3 linked regions of the Stegostoma tigrinum genome follow. The protein of the gene in region 2 purifies or fractionates together with the protein of the main gene of each other region. This does not show direct contact. Links are inferred from orthologs where the notes say so. Each region holds a gene or a part of one and is shown on either strand. Other genes may lie near its edges. The genes, in order: hmmr, transcription regulator protein BACH1-like and fam83d.

Evidence for each region.
Region 1: the proteins of transcription regulator protein BACH1-like (region 2) and hmmr purify together in Homo sapiens (affinity purification with mass spectrometry; 6 studies listed by BioGRID and IntAct, counting the BioPlex papers as one, with this or other methods). This does not show direct contact. The link is inferred for Stegostoma tigrinum from reciprocal best matches to the Homo sapiens genes BACH1 and HMMR.
Region 3: the proteins of transcription regulator protein BACH1-like (region 2) and fam83d purify together in Homo sapiens (co-immunoprecipitation; 3 studies listed by BioGRID and IntAct, counting the BioPlex papers as one, with this or other methods). This does not show direct contact. The link is inferred for Stegostoma tigrinum from reciprocal best matches to the Homo sapiens genes BACH1 and FAM83D.

Annotation. Positions count from the first base shown.
Region 1 is NC_081366.1:12,723,571-12,731,168, forward strand, and holds the start of hmmr (hyaluronan mediated motility receptor), read left to right. Parts: upstream 1-4,585; 5' UTR 4,586-4,652; coding exon 4,653-4,698; intron 4,699-7,598. UniProt on the Homo sapiens protein: Receptor for hyaluronic acid (HA). Involved in cell motility. When hyaluronan binds to HMMR, the phosphorylation of a number of proteins, including PTK2/FAK1 occurs.
Region 2 is NC_081365.1:60,821,456-60,829,151, reverse strand, and holds the start of transcription regulator protein BACH1-like, read left to right. Parts: upstream 1-4,629; 5' UTR 4,630-4,720; exon of another isoform or gene 4,721-4,786; intron 4,787-7,696. UniProt on the Homo sapiens protein: Transcriptional regulator that acts as a repressor or activator, depending on the context. Binds to NF-E2 DNA binding sites. Plays important roles in coordinating transcription activation and repression by MAFK.
Region 3 is NC_081372.1:13,696,140-13,703,695, forward strand, and holds the start of fam83d (protein FAM83D), read left to right. Parts: upstream 1-4,552; 5' UTR 4,553-5,069; coding exon 5,070-5,543; intron 5,544-7,556.

The sequences.
Region 1 (7,598 bases), on a different chromosome or scaffold from region 2:
GTGTTGGGGTGAAGTGTGGAGGGTCTCCTGGTCCAGGAGGTGTTGGGGTGAAGTGTGGAGGGTCTCCTGGTCCAGGAGGAGTGGGGGTGAAGTGTGGAGGGTCTCCAGGTCCAGGAGGTGTGGGGGTGAAGTGTGGAGGGTCTCCTGGTCCAGGAGGTGTTGGGGTGAATTGTGGAGAGTCTCCTGGTCCAGGAGGTGTTGGGGTGAAGTGTGGAGGGTCTCCTGGTCCAGGAGGTGTTGGGGTGAAGTGTGGAGGGTCTCCTGGTCCAGGAGGTGTGGGGGTGATGTGTGGAGGGTCTCCTGGTCCAGGAGGTGTTGGGGTGAAGTGTGGAGGGTCTCCTGGTCCAGGAGGTGTGGGGATGAAGTGTGGAGGGTCTCCTGGTCCAGGAGGTGTTGGGGTGAAGTGTGGAGGGTCTCCTGGTCCCGGAGGTGTTGGGGTGAAGTGTGGAGGGTCTCCTGGTCCAGGAGGTGTTGGGGTGAAGTGTGGAGGGTCTCCTGGTCCAGGAGGTGTGGGGATGAAGTGTGGAGGGTCTCCTGGTCCAGGAGGTGTGGGGGTGAAGTGTGGAGGGTCTCCTGGTCCAGGAGGTGTTGGGGTGAAGTGTGGAGGGTCTCCTGGTCCAGGAGGTGTGGGGATGAAGTGTGGAGGGTCTCCTGGTCCAGGAGGTGTTGGGGTGAAGTGTGGAGGGTCTCCTGGTCCAGGAGGTGTTGGGGTGAAGTGTGGAGGGTCTCCTGGTCCAGGAGGTGTGGGGATGAAGTGTGGAGGGTCTCCTGGTCCAGGAGGTGTGGGGATGAAGTGTGGAGGGTCTCCTGGTCCAGGAGGTGTGGGGGTGAAGTGTGGAGGGTCTCCTGGTCCAGGAGGTGTTGGGGTGAAGTGTGGAGGGTCTCCTGGTCTAGGAGGTGTGGGGATGAAGTGTGGAGGGTCTCCTGGTCCAGGAGGTGTGGGGGTGAAGTGTGGAGAGTCTCCTGGTCCAGGAGGTGTTGGGGTGAAGTGTGGAGGGTCTCCTGGTCCAGGAGGTGTGGGGGTGAAGTGTGGAGGGTCTCCTGGTCCAGGAGGTGTTGGGGTGAAGTGTGGAGGGTCTCCTGGTCCAGGAGGTGTGGGGGTGAAGTGTGGAGGGTCTCCTGGTCCAGGAGGTGTGGGGATGAAGTGTGGAGGGTCTCCTGGTCCAGGAGGTGTTGGGGTGAAGTGTGGAGGGTCTCCTGGTCCAGGAGGTGTTGGGGTGAAGTGTGGAGGGTCTCCTGGTCCAGGAGGTGTGGGGATGATGTGTGGAGGGTCTCCTGGTCCAGGAGGTGTTGGGGTGAAGTGTGGAGGGTCTCCTGGTCCAGGAGGTGTTGGGATGAAGTGTGGAGGGTCTCCTGGTCCAGGAGGTGTGGGGATGAAGTGTGGAGGGTCTCCTGGTCCAGGAGGTGTGGGGGTGAAGTGTGGAAGGTCTCCTGGTCCAGGAGGTGTGGGGGTGAAGTGTGGAGGGTCTCCTGGTCCAGGAGGTGTGGGGATGAAGTGTGGAAGGTCTCCTGGTCCAGGAGGTGTGGGGGTGAAGTGTGGAGGGTCTCCTGGTCCAGGAGGTGTTGGGGTGAAGTGTGGAGGGTCTCCTGGTCCAGGAGGTGTGGGGATGAAGTGTGGAGGGTCTCCTGGTCCAGGAGGTGTGGGGGTGAAGTGTGGAGGGTCTCCTGGTCCAGGAGGTGTGGGGGTGACGTGTGGAGGGTCTCCTGGTTCAGGAGGTGTTGGGGGTGAAGTGTGGAGGGTCTCCTGGTCCAGGAGGTGTGGGGATGAAGTGTGGAGGGTCTCCTGGTCCAGGAGGTGTGGGGATGAAGTGTGGAGGGTCTCCTGGTCCAGGAGGTGTGGGGATGAAGTGTGGAGGGTCTCCTGGTCCAGGAGGTGTGGGGATGAAGTGTGGAGAGTCTCCTGGTCCAGGAGGTGTGAGGGTGAAGTGTGGAGGGTCTCCTGGTCCAGGAGGTGTGGGGGTGAAGTGTGGAGGGTCTCCTGGTCCAGGAGGTGTTGGGGTGAAGTGTGGAGAGTCTCCTGGTCCAGGAGGTGTGGGGATGAAGTGTGGAGGGTCTCCTGGTCCAGGAGGTGTGGGGATGAAGTGTGGAGGGTCTCCTGGTCCAGGAGGTGTTGGGGTGAAGTGTGGAGGGTCTCCTGGTCCAGGAGGTGTTGGGGTGAAGTGTGGAGGGTCTCCTGGTCCAGGAGGTGTGGGGATGAAGTGTGGAGGGTCTCCTGGTCCAGGAGGTGTGGGGATGAAGTGTGGAGGGTCTCCTGGTCCAGGAGGTGTTGGGGTGAAGTGTGGAGGGTCTCCTGGTCCAGGAGGTGTTGGGGTGAAGTGTGGAGGGTCTCCTGGTCCAGGAGGTGTTGGGGTGAAGTGTGGAGGGTCTCCTGGTCCAGGAGGTGTTGGGGTGAAGTGTGGAGGGTCTCCTGGTCCAGGAGGTGTGGGGATGAAGTGTGGAGGGTCTCCTGGTCCAGGAGGTGTGGGGATGAAGTGTGGAGGGTCTCCTGGTCCAGGAGGTGTTGGGGTGAAGTGTGGAGGGTCTCCTGGTCCAGGAGGTGTTGGGGTGAAGTGTGGAGGGTCTCCTGGTCCAGGAGGTGTGGGGATGAAGTGTGGAGGGTCTCCTGGTCCAGGAGGTGTGGGGATGAAGTGTGGAGGGTCTCCTGGTCCAGGAGGTGTTGGGGTGAAGTGTGGAGGGTCTCCTGGTCCAGGAGGTGTTGGGGTGAAGTGTGGAGGGTCTCCTGGTCCAGGAGGTGTGGGGGTGAAGTGTGGAGGGTCTCCTGGTCCAGGAGGTGTGGGGGTGAAGTGTGGAGGGTCTCCTGGTCCAGGAGGTGTGGGGATGAAGTGTGGAGGGTCTCCTGGTCCAGGAGGTGTGGGGGTGAAGTGTGGAGGGTCTCCTGGTCCAGGAGGTGTGGGGGTGAAGTGTGGAGGGTCTCCTGGTCCAGGAGGTGTGGGGATGAAGTGTGGAGGGTCTCCTGGTCCAGGAGGTGTTGGGGTGAAGTGTGGAGGGTCTCCTGGTCCAGGAGGTGTTGGGATGAAGTGTGGAGGGTCTCCTGGTCCAGGAGGTGTGGGGGTGAAGTGTGGAGGGTCTCCTGGTCCAGGAGGTGTGGGGATGAAGTGTGGAGGGTCTCCTGGTCCAGGAGGTGTGGGGGTGAAGTGTGGAGGGTCTCCTGGTCCAGGAGGTGTGGGGGTGAAGTGTGGAGGGTCTCCTGGTCCAGGAGGTGTGGGGATGAAGTGTGGAGGGTCTCCTGGTCCAGGAGGTGTTGGGGTGAAGTGTGGAGGGTCTCCTGGTCCAGGAGGTGTTGGGATGAAGTGTGGAGAGTCTCCTGGTCCAGGAGGTGTTGGGGTGAAGTGTGGAGGGTCTCCTGGTCCAGGAGGTGTTGGGGTGAAGTGTGGAGGGTCTCCTGGTCCAGGAGGTGTTGGGATGAAGTGTGGAGGGTCTCCTGGTCCAGGAGGTGTTGGGGTGAAGTGTGGAGGGTCTCCTGGTCCAGGAGGTGTGGGGGTGAAGTGTGGAGGGTCTCCTGGTCCAGGAGGTGTGGGGGTGAAGTGTGGAAGGTCTCCTGGTCCAGGAGGTGTTGGGGTGAAGTGTGGAGGGTCTCCTGGTCCAGGAGGTGTTGGGATGAAGTGTGGAGGGTCTCCTGGTCCAGGAGGTGTTGGGGTGAAGTGTGGAGGGTCTCCTGGTCCAGGAGGTGTGGGGGTGAAGTGTGGAGGGTCTCCTGGTCCAGGAGGTGTTGGGGTGAATTGTGGAGAGTCTCCTGGTCCAGGAGGTGTTGGGGTGAAGTGTGGAGGGTCTCCTGGTCCAGGAGGTGTTGGGGTGAATTGTGGAGAGTCTCCTGGTCCAGGAGGTGTTGGGGTGAAGTGTGGAGGGTCTCCTGGTCCAGGAGGTGTTGGGGTGAAGTGTGGAGGGTCTCCTGGTCCAGGAGGTGTTGGGGTGAAGTGTGGAGGGTCTCCTGGTCCAGGAGGTGTTGGGGTGAAGTGTGGAGGGTCTCCTGGTCCAGGAGGTGTTGGGGTGAAGTGTGGAGGGTCTCCTGGTCCAGGAGGTGTTGGGGTGAAGTGTGGAGGGTCTCCTGGTCCAGGAGGTGTGGGGGTGAAGTGTGGAGGGTCTCCTGGTCCAGGAGGTGTTGGGATGAAGTGTGGAGGGTCTCCTGGTCCAGGAGGTGTTGGGGTGAAGTGTGGAGGGTCTCCTGGTCCAGGAGGTGTTGGGGTGAAGTGTGGAGGGTCTCCTGGTCCAGGAGGTGTTGGGGTGAAGTGTTGGGGTCGGGGAAATGGATGGGGAGGTCAGAATTTGAAAGAATCTTTGCGGGGGTTGGAAGTAAACAGGGAATGTTGGGAGAACAGTCTGGGGAGAGTTACCATGGTGAAATGGTGGGGACAGTTACCACGGCGACAGGCGCTGAGCATTTCCATGGTGACGGCGTGATGGAGGATTACCATGGTAACAGTGGGGGCGAGGAACTCTGGTGGTCGGGGTGATGGTTACCCGGTTGATAGAGAAGAGGCCCGCCCCCATAACGGTCACGTGAGCGGACCAGGAGGCCGTTGGCGGTTCCCGGGCCTCTGATTGGTGCGCGGTGTCATGTGACCGAACATTCAAACGGCCGGCGGTTGGCGGGGGAGCCGGATCGAGTTATTCCATCAACTGACGGTCGCAGCTCTCGGACGGGACGAGACGGCATGTCATTCCCCAGAGCGCCGCTTAAACGCTTCAACGACAAAGTGGGTGAGTTGCGTTCCCGGGGCTCACAGGGAATCCGATCTCCGAGAACTTTCACTGTGTGTGGGTGAGTGACGGCTCCGCTGCAGGTTGAGGTCTGATCGCAGCCGCTGTCAGCTTTTTGTCATGTTCATGGGACGTGGACGGTCTTTGGCTGGGTCAGCATTTACTGCCCGTTCCCTATTGCTCCTTCAGAAGCTGCTGTTGTTTCCCACGTTCTGTTGGCCTGATGCACTTTGCCTGGTACGATCTGCACGCAAAACAAAACTTTTCACTGCACCAAGGTTCATGTGACAATGACAGATTAAATCAAAAGTATCTACTTTCCCCTTGTCCTTTTACATGGAAGCGAATGTTGGTTTGAGAAGTGCTGTCTAAGGATCTTTGTATTTCTGCAGTGCATCTTGTTGCTGGTACATACTGCTGCTACTGAGTGTCGGTGGTGGAGGGAGTGGATGCTTGTGGATGTAGTGCCAATCAAGCGAGCTGCTTTGTCCTGGATGGTGTTCCAAAAGTGATTGAAGGAGAAATTTCTCTCAATGGGAGGGTGTTGGAAATCTGCATGCAAGAAAAGCCCTTTGGCCCACTGAGTCTGTGTCTTGTGGATGATGCACACTACTGACTGGGGGTTGGTGGATGGAATGGATGCTTGTAGATATGGCGCTAGTCACGCAGACTGCTTTTTGTCCTGTTTGGTCCTGCACCCATCCAGGCCAGCATGGTGTAGGCAACTAAAGCGCCAGGCTGTTTCCGCCAGTTGTGTCTTCGCAGGGTCTTCAAGGACAGGTGTGCAAATTCCAATGTCCTGATTGAAACAGATTTTCCCCAGTCATGCGGTCATGGAGAATGAGGTTTGCTGGCTTATGCTGTGTCTACATCCCAAGTGATCAGCTTCTCAAGAAGGCCCACTTTTCACAGGTTAAGAATGACGTAAACTCTCACAGGACAGAATAAATGTCTGTGAGAACATTCTGATTTGTTGGTTTCATTTGACAGGATGATAGTGGGCCTTCCAGGTAGAGATAGAGATGGATCTCTACTTTGGACTTCTGGCTAAAGATGGTTGCAAATATATTTTGTATTGATTCTCTATCATTGAAAATGGAGATCTTTATGGAGCTTCTCCTTCAGTTAATTTACTTTTACACCATCATTCGTGTTGGGTGTTTGGCAGGACTTTGAGAATTTGGATCTGATCCAACCTGTCGATTGTGAGATCCTTTGCTTACTCAGTTGCTTGCTGCTTCAGCTAGGTTTGCATGTATGTGGTCCTTGGTAATTTCACTGCTTCAGCGTTTCATTTTTTGATATATCTTGTGTTGTTCCTGGTTGTGTGCAGAAAACATAATAAACAAGGCTCAGTCCCTTGCCTTGGTGCTATCAGTAGAGGGGGATGTGCTCGACCATTTGATCATAAATTGTGGCTAAATACAATTCTGTACTTCTAATAGCCTATAATGTCTCAATGACAATGGAGCTGCTAGATTTCCCTTAGTATTCATGGCCAGAGGAGCCCTCCACACCTCCAGTTGTTAACCCTCCGTCCCTTTATGTTGGATTGAAAGAATTCTTTTTGGGACTGCAAGAATTCCTTATAGCACTTCCTGTGCTGACACAAAAAACAGCATCAGATTATGGCTAGCATATACCCTTCAATCACAATCCATATTTCAGTAACAGCTTTTTAAAATGATGTGTCCCCATGTGTAACACAACAGTGAGCCCCAAGGGGATAACTTTGTACCATTGTCAAAAATTTTGGACAGAAGGAAATTTTAATTATCTTCATTCAAGAATGTCACTGGGGAGGACTGAGATTAGGCACAAGGATATTTTGTATATTCATACTTAAGGCAATGTTGATGGTGCTGTTTGAGTTGAACCTATGATGAAGTCAAGAAGTTGAAAGTTGGAGATATGAGGTTTGCATTGTGTCACAACTCGCTGAGGATAGTGCATTGTAATTCAAACCCATCTTTCCCTGAGTTGTCACAAATGTGAAAATTTGATTAAACCCCTGAATTGCCCAATTCTATTTAACTATAATTCAGGTTGACAGATTTAGCACACCCGCCTTTTCTATTAATAAGAAAATAATGATTGATCACAATAAAACTATTCATGACAATGGTAAAATGTTGGTTAGATGAATTTCAAACTGGATTTATAATTTATATAACTTAATCTTTAAAATATTCACTCGGGTGCACAGGGAAACAGACAAGACACAAATATTATCAATGGAGAGGAAAAAGAACATCAGGAACATAATTTTGTATCACAGGTCCAAGATCTTAAAACTAGATGAATTGGCTTCAGAATCCGTTTGAGTGTTTGATGATCAATTTGCAGTTCACTGGCGATTTGGTTGGACTCAGGTCTGTCTTGTTCCGGTGAACTTCAGTATTCGTCATTTTGACAGCTCTGAACATAGTTCCTCCTTGCTCTTTCAACAGAATTTGAGGATACAATTTTCCAGAGCAAGAGAGCGGACAGATAGGGAGATGTTGATATTGCAAGCTTTGGGCAATTTCTAATGTCTTCTGTTTTCATTCCCCTTAGGATCTGTTAGATTGCAACATGATCAATCAGAGGCTTTTTGCTATGCTGAGTTCACTTGACCCCATAACAAATTATGCCAATTGAAAAGTCAACCAAAGATAGATTGTCCAAGCAGAGTTGCTCCTAACACATCAGTAGAGCTGTTTCATCTAGGCATGGTCTTTCTAAAAGTAACATTGTAACATTTGTATCAATCACCTTCACTCATTTTCCAAATCTGCAAATAACTCCTTGTATATTCTCCCTTTTTAAAGTAGTGTGCATTTTTCTCATTTTCAGTCCATACTCAAAAAGATAAATAGGTGGGATCTCTTACAGGCAGTAGATGATTGGGGTTTATTTTG
Region 2 (7,696 bases):
CAATACAAAATCAGCACTTTCTCAGGAAACCAGAAGTTGTAGACATAACGCACAATCTCCATCCAGCCAGTTTTATGACAGAGCCTGAAGGAGGGAAGCGACGTTCCACTCTGAATTAATATTCAACTTCACCTCTGTCTTTCAGGAATGACATTGAAGATGATCTCACATCAAAAGCAAGGTCTGAGAAGCAAAGATTAAAAGTTCAACTCTCACCCACAAAAGCAAAAGACCAGACTGCAAATCTGTTAATATGAAAAAGTCAGTCAAGCTGGACGTTGACTCTATTTCACCATCTACAGGTGCTGCTAGATGCACAGTTTCTCTAGCACTTTTCAATTATTGTTTCAGATTTCTGTCATCTGCAGGACTCTTAAGACCAAAATATTTGTGTAAACCTATTTAAATGGGCCACCAGGATGTGTTGCCATTAAGGGGATACTGTGTCATATTCTGAGCAATTTTTGTCAGTGACTTTGTTCCAGGATTTATTGCTAAATGGTTTGGCTTGCATTGTTATCACAACTGGGTTCTGGTTGTCTTCAGTAAAGAGCTGGACAGCACCTTGGGGCAGCTAGTGATCATGGACTGATTATTGACATTAATTACAGGATAGAACTTGGCCAAACTCCACCAGAACCATATGTCCCCAAAGTCTAGAAAGGTGTGATCTGACATCATCTTGGCATCACTCAAGCTATTAACATCATCATCGTTAACCCATTTACTATAAGGTTCTCGTCTCATGGTCTCACCCCCTCCTCTCTTCCAGGGTCCCCCACTGGAGGAAAATATCCACTCACGGTATTATAGAATTAGGCAGTACAGAATCTGGCTGACAAACGAGAAGCTGGAAAAATTCAGCAGGTCAGGCAATATCTGGAGGAAAAGAGCAGTCAATGTTTCGGGTATTACCCTTCCTCAGGACTGGATGTGGGGGTAGGTGGAACTGCAGATAAAGAGATGGGGGTGTGGAGTAGAATGGTGGTGATAGGTGGATACTGATGGTAGTATGACTTGGTTGGTTAATGGGATGGATGAATCCAGTTGGTAGCTGGAAGGAAGGGTCAGAAGGTGGAATGGAAGAGAGGAGGTGGCAGTGGAAGATGAGGTGGGTGATGGTGGGAAGGTTATTTGAAATTAGGGAACTCAATGTTGAGTCCTCTGGGCTGTAGGGTGCCCAGGCGGAAGATAAGGTGTCGTTCTTCAAATTTGTATTCCAAGTTTCTGAGACACTGAGGAAGCCAAGGACGGGCAGGTCGGAAGGGGAGTGGGGTGAGGAATTGAATTGGGCAGTGACCGGGAAGTTAGGTTGGCTGTTATAGGCCAGGCAGAGTTGCTCGGTGAAATGATCACCTCGTCTACGTTTGGCATCACCGACGTAGAGAGGACCACACCGGCAGCAACAGATGCGATAGATTACATTGGAGGAGATGCAGGTGAAACTCCATCTCACCTGTTCCCTTGTTCACATGTTCTTTATTTAAAAAAAAACAATCAGGGCCTGAAAAAAAATTTCACAGGAAGCAACCATCACACACACCTACTTCCACTCAGCTTTGTCTCCACTTTGCTTCCAGGAGTGGAAACTTGGAGAAAAGGGCTATCTACTGCAGAGATGGTTATTCCTTTCTGTGGGGAACCCATGGAGTTATCCAACATCTGCCAAGGGAAAGTTGTGGTACCATCAAGCAAACTTTTGCTTCCTTGAAGTTGCGATGAGGGACGTCAATTGTTCTGGTGGATCACTTCACTGTGCCCCAGCAAGCATCCAGCAAATCACACACTGCACAAAATGAGTTTTCAGAGGTGAAGGCATTGAACAATAAGAACATAGTGGACCAGAAAACCTGTTCTAACAATGAGGATGAGACTGAGGCTGCTAACCAGGTGATGTGTGATGAAACACCCAAGAAAATACAAACAGGGTCCAAAGAGATACATTCCGGACATGCTTATATACAGATGTTTCATTAGATCCTTTATTACCTGTTGGATACAAACAGTGAAACCTTCCCTTTATGCAGCCCTGCTGCTTTATTCTGCTATTCACCGCTGTTTGCCCAGGGGCACATCGCAGAGAGAGAAGGCTGAAGCTTTGACCACATGCAGTGTTGTCCCTTGCACCCAGCCCCTAGAAGGATCCCAGGTGTCGGTGAAGCAAAAAATGGAAAATAACACACTAATACACTGATGTACAGGCTGATACAGGTTTTAAAAGGGAATTAGATAAATAGTTGAAGAAAAAATCCATATTGATATGAGAAAAGATTAGGGGATTGGGATAAACTGATTGCTCTTTAAAGGAATTGGCATAGATTTGACGGGCTGATTAGCTCCTCTGTGCGAAAGTTATTTTGTTCTAAGTCTCTGTTGATCCTGGCCGTCACTGTGATGTCCAGTATTGAAGGTCGAAATAACAAACGATTTTATGAGGGTTCTGTGTGTAGTTTAAAGAAAAAAAAAGGTATTGTGATTTAACGAGAAGAGATATTGTGGTTTGTAAATCAGTTACACAGTTTTGGCTGGCATTAGTACCTTACACTAAGTTACGCACGCGGTTGTTGTTGCTCTTTTGAGTATAATCTTTCACGACATGCTTGAGCGAATCAGTTGAGAAATGAGACGTTAAACGATCCCAATGATCACACGTCAAAGTACATACCACTTCTGTGAAAGGAAATCCTACCCAGTTTCAGGGCAGTGGCTCAACTGGCTTTTGGACATGAACATAGAGTTTTCAGCAATTGGAGCTTTGTACGGTGCACACTCCCACATCGAAATTACACGAGCTTTGTCCTAACCTGTTTAATTGTTCCACGTATGAAATGTCAATCGATCTGTATGAATGAAAGAGGCGTCTCCAGCAGCTTAATGGTGACACCGCTCACTGTCAATTACAATCCACATGATCCGATTATTTACTGTTATAACCAGCGCACTCATGTCCCAAACAAAAATCTCACTTCCCCAGGCATTAGCAGACTCTGTGTACTTTTTGACTTATGATTAGTAACAGCTATTCGATTCCGCCTGCTGCAATTCTCCAGCTTTTAAGTGAAACAGAAACAAAGGTATAAGCTACCATCAGCACGCTGTTAAACAGGCGCACACTGGGCGGAGTGACAGAACACTGGGTGCATTCACAGCCAAATCATCTTTCCACACCTCCTTGTTTGTTCTCCCCAAATCCTCTTTGCACTCGCCTATTCCGCCTTTCCATCGCACTATTCCAAATTCTGTCAGTCGGGGCTCAGTTGATTGCTCTCACTTCTGAGTTAGAGTTCAAGTTTCACTGCAGACTTGGTAAAAATCCAAGCTGTCACTTTACTGAAGTACTGGAGGACCGTTGCACCATCCCAGATACCAACCTTGCAATGAAACTTTAAAACAGAGACCCACGGTTGCCCTTTCATAAAAGATCCTAATGCACTTTTTGAAGACCTGGGGAATTGTTTCCAGGTTCTTTTTCCCCAATTAACATTAAAATAATCAATAACATAGAAGCATAATACAAATGTTGGAAATTCGAAATTTTAAAAAATGAACTGAACTCAGTAGATCTGACAGTATCTGTGGAGAGAAATATACCTTACATTTTGAGTTAAATATGGCTGAAATTTTGTCCATTTACCCCTTTATCACAAAAATAAATCAGTTGATTGTTATCAAACTGCTACGTGTGAGAAATTGAGATTTGTTATCAAGCTGAGAGATTACACTTTCAAATATATTCAATATTTTCCGTTGGCTGTAAAACTGAGACGCTATTATCGTTTCTTCCTTCTCAGCTTCCCTTCATCCAGTCCTCCTCCTACCCCTCGTTTCACCATCCCTCTTCCTTCTCTCCATCTTGTCTTTTCACCATCTCTCACTTCATTTTTCTCTCTTCTGTCGTCAATCCATCCACCGCGCCTGTCTCCCTTTCTCTGTTCCCTTCCTCTCTATCATTCCTCCTCTCTCCACGTTATATCTTTCCACCATGTTTCACGTTCTCTCCTTCCCCTCTCCCAATATCTCCGTCCCTTGTTCCCTCGCCCCTATCACTCCTTTTCTGTCATCCACTCTCCACTTCCCCAGTCTCTCCAACCCTTTCTGTCTGCTCCTCAATCTCAACCCATTTCTCAATCTGCTTCAGTACGATCTTTCTACCATCTCTCACCAATCCCTTTCTCTCTCCCACATCTCTGTCCACACTTCCACTCACTCATGTCCCCCGACCCACACTCTCCCCTCCCTTTTCAACCTCCCCATCCACACTCAACCCCATCGCTTTCCACTCCCCCACCCAGTTTCCCTCTCTTTACACTGTCTTGTGCTTTCCACAGTTCCGTTCCACACACACACACACTTTCTCTTCTCTTCTCCCTCCCCCTCTCTCTCTCCCCCCCTCCCTTCCTTTTCTCTGTCTGTCTGTCTATCTCTCTCCCTCCATTCGCCTCGGCCAAGTTTCCTCGACTCTCTGGTGGACGATGACATCATCTAGCTGACGAAATCCGGGTCGAGGACACAGTTTGACGGTTGTCAACCGCGACCAATGGGCGTGCAGCGTCAAGTGAAAGGTCCGTCGATTGGACGGACCCAGAGGATGGGAGGAGGAACTCCGACGGTTGCAGCCCCGCCGCTGTGGTGTTTGGAGTGGTCACGTGAGGGGGCGGGTAGTGGACGGTTGGAGCCTGTGTGGGGGGGAAAAAAGGAAGAAAATTGAGCCTGATCAGCGGTGAGTGAGGAACCTGGGTCACGTTGGTCTAGTGTTTGAGTGTTCTTTTGGCGGTATGTGTATAAGGTGAGGGGGTATGTTGGAGTGGGTTCGGTTGGGGCGGGGTGGCCGTCGCTGCTGTGACTGCCTGAGGGGTTGTTGCTTTGGGAATGGGCCGGGCCGCTCCGACTCTCTCTCTCTCTCTCTCTCTCTCACACACACTCACACACACACACACAGCACCACCGCGGCAACTGCAGCGGCTCCCGGACCCTGTGAGCGCCGCTGTGGATCAGGCTCCCGCATTGAGCCTGGGAGACTCCGTCTTCCACGAAAAACCTCCCGGAGCCTGACTTCCTCCACCGCAGCCCCCCCGCCCGAAACTTAAAAGAAGTTTGTTTTTGTTTTCTGTGTGCTGTAACATGGAGATGATCAAATTTGTCATGGTGTTCAACTTCCTGAACATATGTTAACTTCCTCGTCAGGAGCTTCTACATTTCTTCTCTTGAGGGTGGGCGAATCTGCCATCGTCGTTCTTACGTTAGATGCCTGACCAGCAGCCTATATTCCTATTTAGTAAAGTGCAATCGGACTTGTCTCCCAGCTTCTAGGTTCGGGCTTTAATGTTAAAACACTGTCAACCGGTCGTTATTAACCTCAGATGATTCTTACATATAGTTATAAAAACAGATGAACAATTCACCTCGAAGAGAGGGGTTTAAATATACAACACTCGTTTGTAGCCAAAATGACTTGTGCAAATGTTGGTCATCACTTATCCTTCGTGCTTGTACCTGGGCTTTGCTTACAGTATGTAAAGATTCAGCGTAGCACAGATGGTTAATACTTCTTGAAATGATGATTCTGTCATCTACGGTTCAGTTGATAATACTATCTCTGTGAGCAGATTGTAGAGACGCTCGTTGTATGCAGAAAGTAGATCGGGTGTTCTTTAAATTGCATACTGCCCTGCAAAACAGCATTGAATTAAACCATTCCAATAGTTCAGATGTACGCCACAGTCTGGAGAGGGATAATAGATATATATGGCAGTAGTTCAAGCGTTTTGTTAATGCCACCTCAACACAAATATCGTGACATTATATTCATTAAATTGTTTATATGAGAAGAAATCCAACTTCTTTGTAGCTTTAACTCTTAACTTACAGAATCAACTTTATTCATGTGTCAGTGCTCGTGTTTGAATGATCAGAGTACACTACTCCAGATGGACTGCTCATTAATAAACAAAATAGATTTTTTTGATCAATTCAATTACAAGTAATTTTATTTACTTATCCACTTTCTCAATGCCCTGCATATTTTTCCTAATCAATATGTAATATTACTGTTCCATCAAATAGATTCTTCTATTATTCAATTCCTTATTCCAGTTTAATGCAGATTTAATGTAAAATACTGAATTACCTGAAAGATCTAAATCTTTTTTGAACCCAAGTGTTACCTCTTATTATTTGTCCTGCCTCCGAGCCAGAATAACCTGCAGACTATTAAATAACTAATCTCTTCCCCTTACCGATTCTAGCAAGAGGCTTGAACCTAAGTTCAGTATTCACCTTTTCAATTTGTTTCTAGCCTAAGATGTTTCTGCTTTGTGTTATGTTAAATCCACTTTTATATCCAACTTTACTTTGGTTTAGTAATTAATTATGGAAAGCTAAATTTATCACAAGGTTTCTGTAACTTTCATTTATTTGTGTCCATTCACTCCCCTCAATCTGTAGTGTTGTAATATGTTTGCAAATTGGTGCTTTTTTTTCCAGACTCTGGTTGTAGATTGAATCTAACCCCAAAATTTCATCATAATTTGGCTATATTCATCTTTGCTTTGTTGCTTGCTCTGCTGCTATTTCCTTTTAATGCTGCAGCAACTTGAATGAGTTATTTTGTAACTCCCAAATGATATCTCATCAACGGGTCATCTATCTTTCCTATATACATTCTCTCACTTCTTTTTTGTACTAATTTATAAGTCATTTCTTAACTAACTAATTTTCAGTGTATTTTTTAAATGGTAAAACTGAAACACTTTTGGTTTAACTGGGTTTCTAATTTGTAGTGCATCATATTTGACTTCTAGCATTTATTTCTAATTCCATTGGGTTGCTCTGGATCTTTCTCCAGTTAACATAAGAATACTTAGTTTTCTCTGGGTGCTGAGGCCACAGGTTGTTAAACAGCATACTCAAAAACTGATTGCACTAACAATATTTTAGGTACTGGCTTATAATTGTAGCCAATACAATTTAATCACCTAAACCTTTCTACAAATGTTATCATGTTGAAGATGAAGAATCTTTCAACTTATTGAGATCTTAGATGTTTTAATTTCCTTTTCTCTCTTTCTTTCCCCCTTTCCAAGTCTTCATAGTTTGGGACTATGGCCAGCATAGACTGGTTGGACTGAAGGGTTTGTTTCAGTACTGTATGACTAATACTGAGACTATAATGCTAATTTTTTTTCTGCCATTGGACTTTGGTGAGAGAGCAGATGGGGAAGGGGTATTGGAGGAAGAAAAGGAACATCGAAATCAAACTTTTAAGTGCTGTTATGTAATTTTTCCCTATCTAAATCATCATGTCTGATAAGTGAGTAACTCTGAGCATTACTTTCAGCGTGCAGTTTTCACAATCTGTAAATTGTGTTTTATGAGCAAATCTGTTTCGTTGTCAGAAACAAATTGCAGGCATTGATCCTGTCATATTAGTTGATTGCTCCTCATTATGAATTTTGTAAGCTATAATTTTTCTCACCCATAAAACAATATAAAATTACATACTTCTTGACTTTGAAAAGACCAATCACATTGTGGGTGAATTATAATCATTTATATCAAATTATTTTAAATTATTCTCCACCCCTCATATTGCACTGTCTCTGAAACAGCTGCAAGATGATTTTCAATGCATTATTTTATAGTTGTAATATTTTATGGTGGGAAGGAAGACCAGGATGAATTTACATTGTGATGCCAG
Region 3 (7,556 bases), on a different chromosome or scaffold from region 2:
TACACTGAAAGATTTCTCTCTGACACTCACTCAAGTGATTGAAATAAACTCGAGATGATGTGTGTACCTACTGCCTAAACTCCAAATATTATTTTCTGGAATAACAAAGTGTGAAGCTGGATGAACACGGCAGGCCAAGCAGCATCTCAGGAGCACAAAAGCTGACGTTTCGATGAAGGGTCTAGGCCCAAAACGTCAGCTTTTGTGCTCCTGAGATGCTACTTGGCCTGCTGTGTTCATCCAGCTTCACACTTTGTTATCTTGGATCCTCCAGCAGCTGCAGTTCCCATTATCTCTGATCATTATTTTCTGGGACTGTTTTGTGGACAGTACATTGGCACAAGGTTTTAACCAATTTAGTTCTTCCCTGTTTATTTTCATCCTGTTCGTGAAACTGTGTCAGAGCTTAACACTAACTCTGGTGAGTAAGTAACCCACCTTTGTGCAACATTTTGAGGAATGAATATTTGTTCCCACCTCAACTTCCCCCTTCAAGATGGGAGGCAATGCACTAAATGCTCTGTAACCTCTGTCATGGATATAAGTAGGTAAGTGTGGTTTGGGGGCAACACAGCATCTCAGGCAAGGGGTGAGACAAATCTTGCAGCAATAGGCTTATGTATGCAACCCAGAGAGGAATGGAAATAATAAATCAACAATCCTTTCCCTTTCTAATAATCCAGTTGTCAAATAATAGTTTATTGTGTCATTAAAGTATCACCTAGAATGATAAAAGCAGCAGGTACATAGGAGTGCCACCATCTGCAAGTTCTTCTCCAAGATCCACATCATCCTGACTTAGAAACGCAGCAACAGGAGAAGGACATGTCAAGCCCACTGCACCATTTAATGTGATAATAGTTAATCAAATACTTCAATGCCTTTTACCCACAATGTCCCCATAACCCTGCATACCACTCATGTCTATCTCCCTCATTCCTTCAAACTCAAGAGAATACAGGCCCAATTTGTCCAGTGTCTCTCAGTCAGACAGTCCTGCCATCCCAGGAACAAGTCTGCTGTACTCCTATTGCATTCTCTCTCTCTGCCAATGATATCCTCCCTCCGATAAGGAGACCAAAACTGCACACAGTATACCAGGTGCAGTCAGATCAAGCTTCTCTACAATTCTATACAATTGAAGTGAGACTTTACTACTGCTGTATGCAAATTCTCTTGCAATAGGTCTGCCATTTCATTAGCATTCCTAAAGGTTTGCTGTACCTGCATGTTAGCCTTCAGTGACATATTGATAAGGACACCTACTACCAGACAAAGGTCCCTTTGTACATCTACACTTTCTAACCTTATTATTTAAAAAATATTCTGCGCATCTGATCCTCCTACTAAAGTGGATAATCTTACAGTTTTATTATGTTGAGGTGATGGCCTAGTGCTATTATTGCTCGAATATTAATTTGGAACCCCAAGTAATATTTGGGGGACCTGGGTTCAAACTCTGCCAAGGCAGATAGTGGAATTTGGATTCAATAAAAATCTGGAATTTAGAACTCTAATGATGACCATGTTAGGGGAAAGCCCCATCTGATTTGTGAATGACCTTTAGGGAAAAGAAACTGCTTTCTTAGGCTGGCCTACATGTGACTCCAGACCTGCAGCAATGTAGTTGACTCTTGACTGCTCTCAGCAATTAGAGATGGGCAATAAATGCTGGCCATGTCAGTGGTGCCTACATCCCATGAATAAAAGGGGAAAAATATATATACTCTCTCAGCCATGCTCTTGCCCAGCCACTGCTTTACATCTTCACAACACACTATCCCACTTATCTCTGTATTATCTGAACATTTGGGAATATTACATTTGGTTACCACGTCCAAATCACATATATACTTCGAGCAGCTGGGACACAAGTACAGATCCTGGGAGTACCCCACTAATCAGAGTCTGCCAACATGACCATTCTAGAGTTTTATTTCTGTTAAATCCATCCATAATTAATGTGGATGGACATTTTGGTTGGCATGGACCAGTTTGAGCTGAAGGGCCTTTCTCTGTGCTGTAGGACTCTATGACTCTTCTGTCATGTTTTAAGTCTAATTGCCGAGCGAATATTTTTGTGCAGATGTTTGATTTCTCATTTCTCTGCGTCATCTAGGTCGGGCAATTGTCTTGATCTACACCTGACCACGTTAGATGTCAGTGATAATGGGAACTGCAGATGCTGGAGAATCCAAGACAACAAAATGTGAGGCTGGATGAACACAGCAGGCCAAGCAGCATCTCAGGATGAAGGGTCTCGGCCCGAAACATCAGCTTTTGTGCTCCTGAGATGCTGCTTGGCCTGCTGTGTTCATCCAGCCTCACATTTTGTTGTCACGTTAGATGTCTGCTCCTTTCGGCACTGCAGCAACTCCGGGGGGAGGGGGGGATCTTTGTCAATCACTTCTTGGACAATTTAGAAATGTGGTAGGGAAGTTTGATGACCTTTATTGTCTTCTCACAATGGTGAAATGAATCAAAGTCACAATGTTTACAGTTAAATTTGATTATATTTTGTTCAGTATAAATGAGAGTTGTTGCATTTTGGTATCTGGAGGGCATTGTTAAGTGCAGCAGTGTTATTTTTTATGCTTTGGACTTAAGTGTAACTTACATATAATTCATCCATGGCCTTTCTGGTAAGTGGCGCGTCTGGGAGTGCGTGCCCTGTCTCGGCTCCATTCCGTTGTGGTGGTCGGTCTGCGGGATGGTCTTTGATGTCTGGCTGGCTATCCCCCTTTCCCTTTCCAGTGGATTCCTGTATGCATTTCGTTTCGCGGGGGGGGGGGGGGGGGGTTATGGGCACTGAGTTGACTCGGCGGCAGGGTATTGCGGAGGCTGGAAGGTGTTGGACCGAAGGCAGAGGGTGCTGAAGTTGTTCGGCGGGTTTGTGGTGAAGCAGCGTTGACGTTTTGCATTTCTTCGGTACTAAAGGAAGAGATGGAAGTGTGGTAGGCTGTATACAGGGAAAAAGGTGGGACAGAAGGAAGGCCCCAGAATGATGGAAGGTGGAGATCATAGTTGTCACAGAAAACAGAGCAAAGGGAGATGTGATAATTATATAGATGAGAGATAACATATGGATGGGGTAGTGTAGGGGGAGGGGCTTAGATTAGTTCACAGGTCGGTGCAACATCGACGGCCGAAGGGCCTGTTCTGCGCTCTATTGTTCTATGTTCTTGGTTCTAAAATCCATGACAATACATCACCTCCTATCCCAAGTAATTTTCAATTTAGCTAACCAATCTCCTGTCTGAGACCTTACCAAAAGCCTTCTGAAAATCCCAGTATACTACTGCTTTTGATTCCCCTTTATCAGTTTTGTGAGAGCGTCCTCAACTCCAAATTGGAACTATTTTGCCATTCCTTCACTATCACAAAATCCGAGAAATCTCTTCTACAGCGCTGCGGGTGGCCCTCCAACGCAATGCTTGTGATGGTTGAGGGAAGTGGCTCAGCAGCACTTTTTTTTCTAGCGTAATCAGGAACCAGCAATAAAGCAAAGCCCAAATTCCCTTAATGAATTTAAGAAAACTGACCTCGGCGTAGTACAATATATATTAGGTATGCAAATACTGCCCACTCTGCTGGGGAGATTTCCTCACGTAACCTCCAATGACCCACCCCCACACTCTTGCTATTGGCCTATTGTCCAGGAGCACCGACTTTCGACAGCCAATTGGAGACTTTCTGAGCCAATTGGTTGTTTAACTTTAACTGTTTCACTAGCTCCCAACCATGCAACCATCTTGTTAGCAAATAAACTTGAAAATGTCTGTGGGGTCGCATTAGCAGTGTCCTCTTGAGCCAGGCTTCAAGACCCACCTGTTCTACAGATGTATGTCTGAACAGGTTGTTTAAAAAAATCCCTACCTCTGGACTATCAGCCATAGAAGTCGTCATTGGACAAGCATATGGACGTACATGGAATAGTTAAGTTAGATGGGCTTAAGATGGGTATGACAGGTCGGCACAACATCGCGGGCCAAAGGGCCTGTACTGTGCTGTAATGTTCTATGTTCTATGTTCTATAACATGTCTAAACAGGTTTAAAAAAAAGTGATTGTGCACCTATTCAAAGAAAATGAATAATAAGTTTCATTAAAATCACTGTGGATAATCGCCAGCAGATGATTTTCTATCCCTGGCCAATCCTGGAGGGTTGGTGATATCAATTTTATAAACAAAGAAATTTCTGACAGAGATAGTAGGAGCTGCCGATGCTGGAGAATCTGATATAACAAGGTGTAGAGCTGGATGAACACAGCAGGCCAAGCAGCATCAGAGGAGCAGGAAAGCTGACGTTTCAGGTCTAGACGCCTCCTCTGATGCTGAGATAATAAAATGTGAGGCTGGATGAACACAGCAGGCCAAGCAGCATCTCAGGAGCACAAAAGCTGACGTTTCGGGCCTAGACCCTTCATCAGTCTCTGGTTGGATCAGACATGAAAGTACAAGTTTGCAAAGGAGTGATGATTCTCTGTGTGTGTGTGTGTGAAAACAGACTGTCAGTGAGTGGGCGGAGCTTTCCCAGCTGTTTTTGGATGAATTTAAACCTGTAGCCAATCGCGATGGGGCTGTTGTCAAAATCCGTTAAAGAGTAAAAAGTAAGGGAGAGTCCTGAGCTGGTGGGATTGGGAGAAGTAACCGGGAGACTGGTTAGACAGCTCTCGCAGCAGCCAATCGCTTCTCGTAGTCTGTGTTTGAATGGACTGTTGGTGAATTTCAATCGTGGGGAACGGGAAGAAAATATACGGCGAGTCAAGGAGCGCGGCTGCTTTTGTAACAAGGGATTTTCGAGACTCGTCAAGGAAGACTCTAAACTTCTGTCTGTGCAAAACTAATTCTGGGCGTGCAAGCCGGCAGAAGCCCCCCCCCCCCCAATTCTGGGCGTGCAAGCCGGCAGAAGCCCCCCCTCCCAAATTCTGGGCGTGCAAGCCGGCAGAAGAACCCCCCCAAATTCTGGGCGTGCAAGCCGGCAGAAGACCCCCTGTCCCTGGAGTGAAGGGAGCGGTGAAAGCAGGCTCTGGGTCTGAAATCTCCAGCTTTACCTGGGACCCTGGACCATGAATGATTCCCAGTGCCTCGATGACCTGCCGATCGTGTCCAGGTGGTGTGGTGCTGCCAGGCAGGAGCTGGGACTGAGAGAGTTTTATAGCGAGACCCAGCGCCTGGCTTTGGAAGAGCTGATCTCCGGCGGCGAGGAGGCTTACAGCGCCTTACTAAAGAGAGAGAGAGTCCAGGGCTTCCTGTCGGCCGATGAGATCGCCAGCATCCTGCAATCCACCATCAGCCCCCCTGGGCTAGACAGCCAGCCACTCGAGCAATCCTTCACCTGCTCCAGTGACCTAAGCTCGGGGACCTATTTCCCCGATGCCTCGGACATTGAGGTGCCGGTTCTGGACATTGGGTGGCCGGTGTATCCGAGCAACTGGTACCGGGGTGTGACCCAGGTGGAGGTGTATTTCCAGCCCAGCTATGGGGAGCTCATCTACAGCTGCAAGGAGGCGATCAGGAAGCTCATCAGAAAGGCAGAGAAGGTAGGTTAGGGGGAATATGATTAACCTGGTACTTTCCATACCCGCCCCTTGCGCGGATTTGTTTTTCATTTTGGACGTTTCATTTCAATCTAGATTCTCTTGTATGTTGAATATTTAATACATGTTAAATGCCAAAGATAGAAACTTACTTTTTCCAAAATACAGAGCTATATTTTAACAGAGTTAATCTAGCCAGTGGAAGGAAAGGTTGAGTGACTGGAAACAGCCAGCAGTGTTGTTTGGATGGTAGAATGGATACGGTGGAGTTCCCCAGGGTTCGGTTTCAGCACTTTCTTTGTTCTATATTAAGACCTTTGTGCAAAAGACTGTCAGATACAGCGTAAAATTAGAACTCTCCAGTCCTGTAATGATTAGGATTTCTTGCTGTTACCATTACACCCAGGGTTGGATTCTTGTCCAGGCAATGATTCCCCACAGTTTACACAAAGTCTTTGTGTAATGTCACTGCCCTTGTAATACAGACCTTGCACACTCAGGATTAAATAGATCCCAAGCCCATCACAGCAGCTGGGAGCAATTCAAAACCAGTGGCTAAATCTGAAAATATGAAGCAATGTTTAATGTAACAGTGACCGCTCCATGGTCATCCGTCCATTGGAAAAGCCTTCTTGTTTTGGCCTACATGCAATGAGGCTGAATCTGAAATTTCAAGCCGTTCAGTTCAAGGGGAATTTGTGGTAGGAAAATAATGCAAGCCTTAACACAGGGTCTCACATCCCCTTCGAAGAATAAAGAGGGGAAAATGTTCAAAGACAATTAAAGCTAAATGCCAGGAACAACTTGGCCATAGCCTGAGAGTTGAGGCCAGACAGTTTGAGAGATGTTAAGAACCACCTCTACACAACCAGGGTGTCAAAGGTTTGGAGCTCTCTTCGACAAATAGCAGTGGATGCTGGATCAGCTAATTTTAAAACTGAGATAGATATGTTTTTGGTAAGTAAGGGGATGTGGTCTAAAGACAGTTATAGGGAGTTAAGTCAGACATTGGCTGCTATCTCATTGAATTCTGGAACAAACTCAAAGGGTTGAATGGCCTACTCCTGTTTCTATGTTCCTATAAGCTTTTTTTTGCACTGTATAATATTCCAAGAGGTTCAGAATCAAGCCTGAAATTTCTTCAGAAGGTAAATATTTGGGAAACATTTGTACTGAGATTACTAATAAATGTGAGGAATTTATATGATGGCGATAGAACTGTTCTGGTTGATAATATATTGGTTCTAGAGTGGGACAAATAAGCCACTCCTGCTGATCTGTTCTATTTGTTTCATGAAAAATTTGTTTTCACTAGTAGCTTGGGTACTGTGATTTATTGTCTGTGCATTTAGACGTAGTAAGATTGCAGTGAAAACATGTAAAGACAGTGAAAGGCTGACCTGTTATTCAGTGCCCTGATTAATTGATGACCGTCTTGAGGTGCAGTGGTAGTGTCACTATCCTTGGACTGAGGGGCCCAGGTTCTAGTCCCACCTGCTCCAAAGGTATGCAATAACCTTTCTGAACAGATGGTTTCGAAAAATAGGTTAATTGATGGTCCAACAGATCCTGTTGTGCACAACAAGGTCAGAACTAAATTTTGTTGCTGACCTAGAAACTATTGTTCATTTAGTCATTTAACACCTGCAACGGAATAAGATAGGGCTCAGGTTTCTTGTTCACTGTGACTGCTTTTAATGTTTGCCCAAACCATGAGTTTTGGATGTTAGATGTTCAAATGATATTTGCATGTTTTTAAACACTGAAGTTAATTGTTCTGTGCCTCAGGCAGGATGAGTACAGACAGAAATTTTCTAACTAAAAAAAGTATAAAATTTTACAGATGCACGAAATCTAAAAAAGTAAAGAATGCACAAAGGGAGTGCTGATAAGTTATGCCGTACTTTTTTTTAGAGGGAATAAATGATTTAACTATTGGTAGCACCCTCCCCTCTGAGCCAAAGAGCTGAGAGTTCAAACCAGGCTCAGAAAAATAAAGCACATAATCTAGGGCGA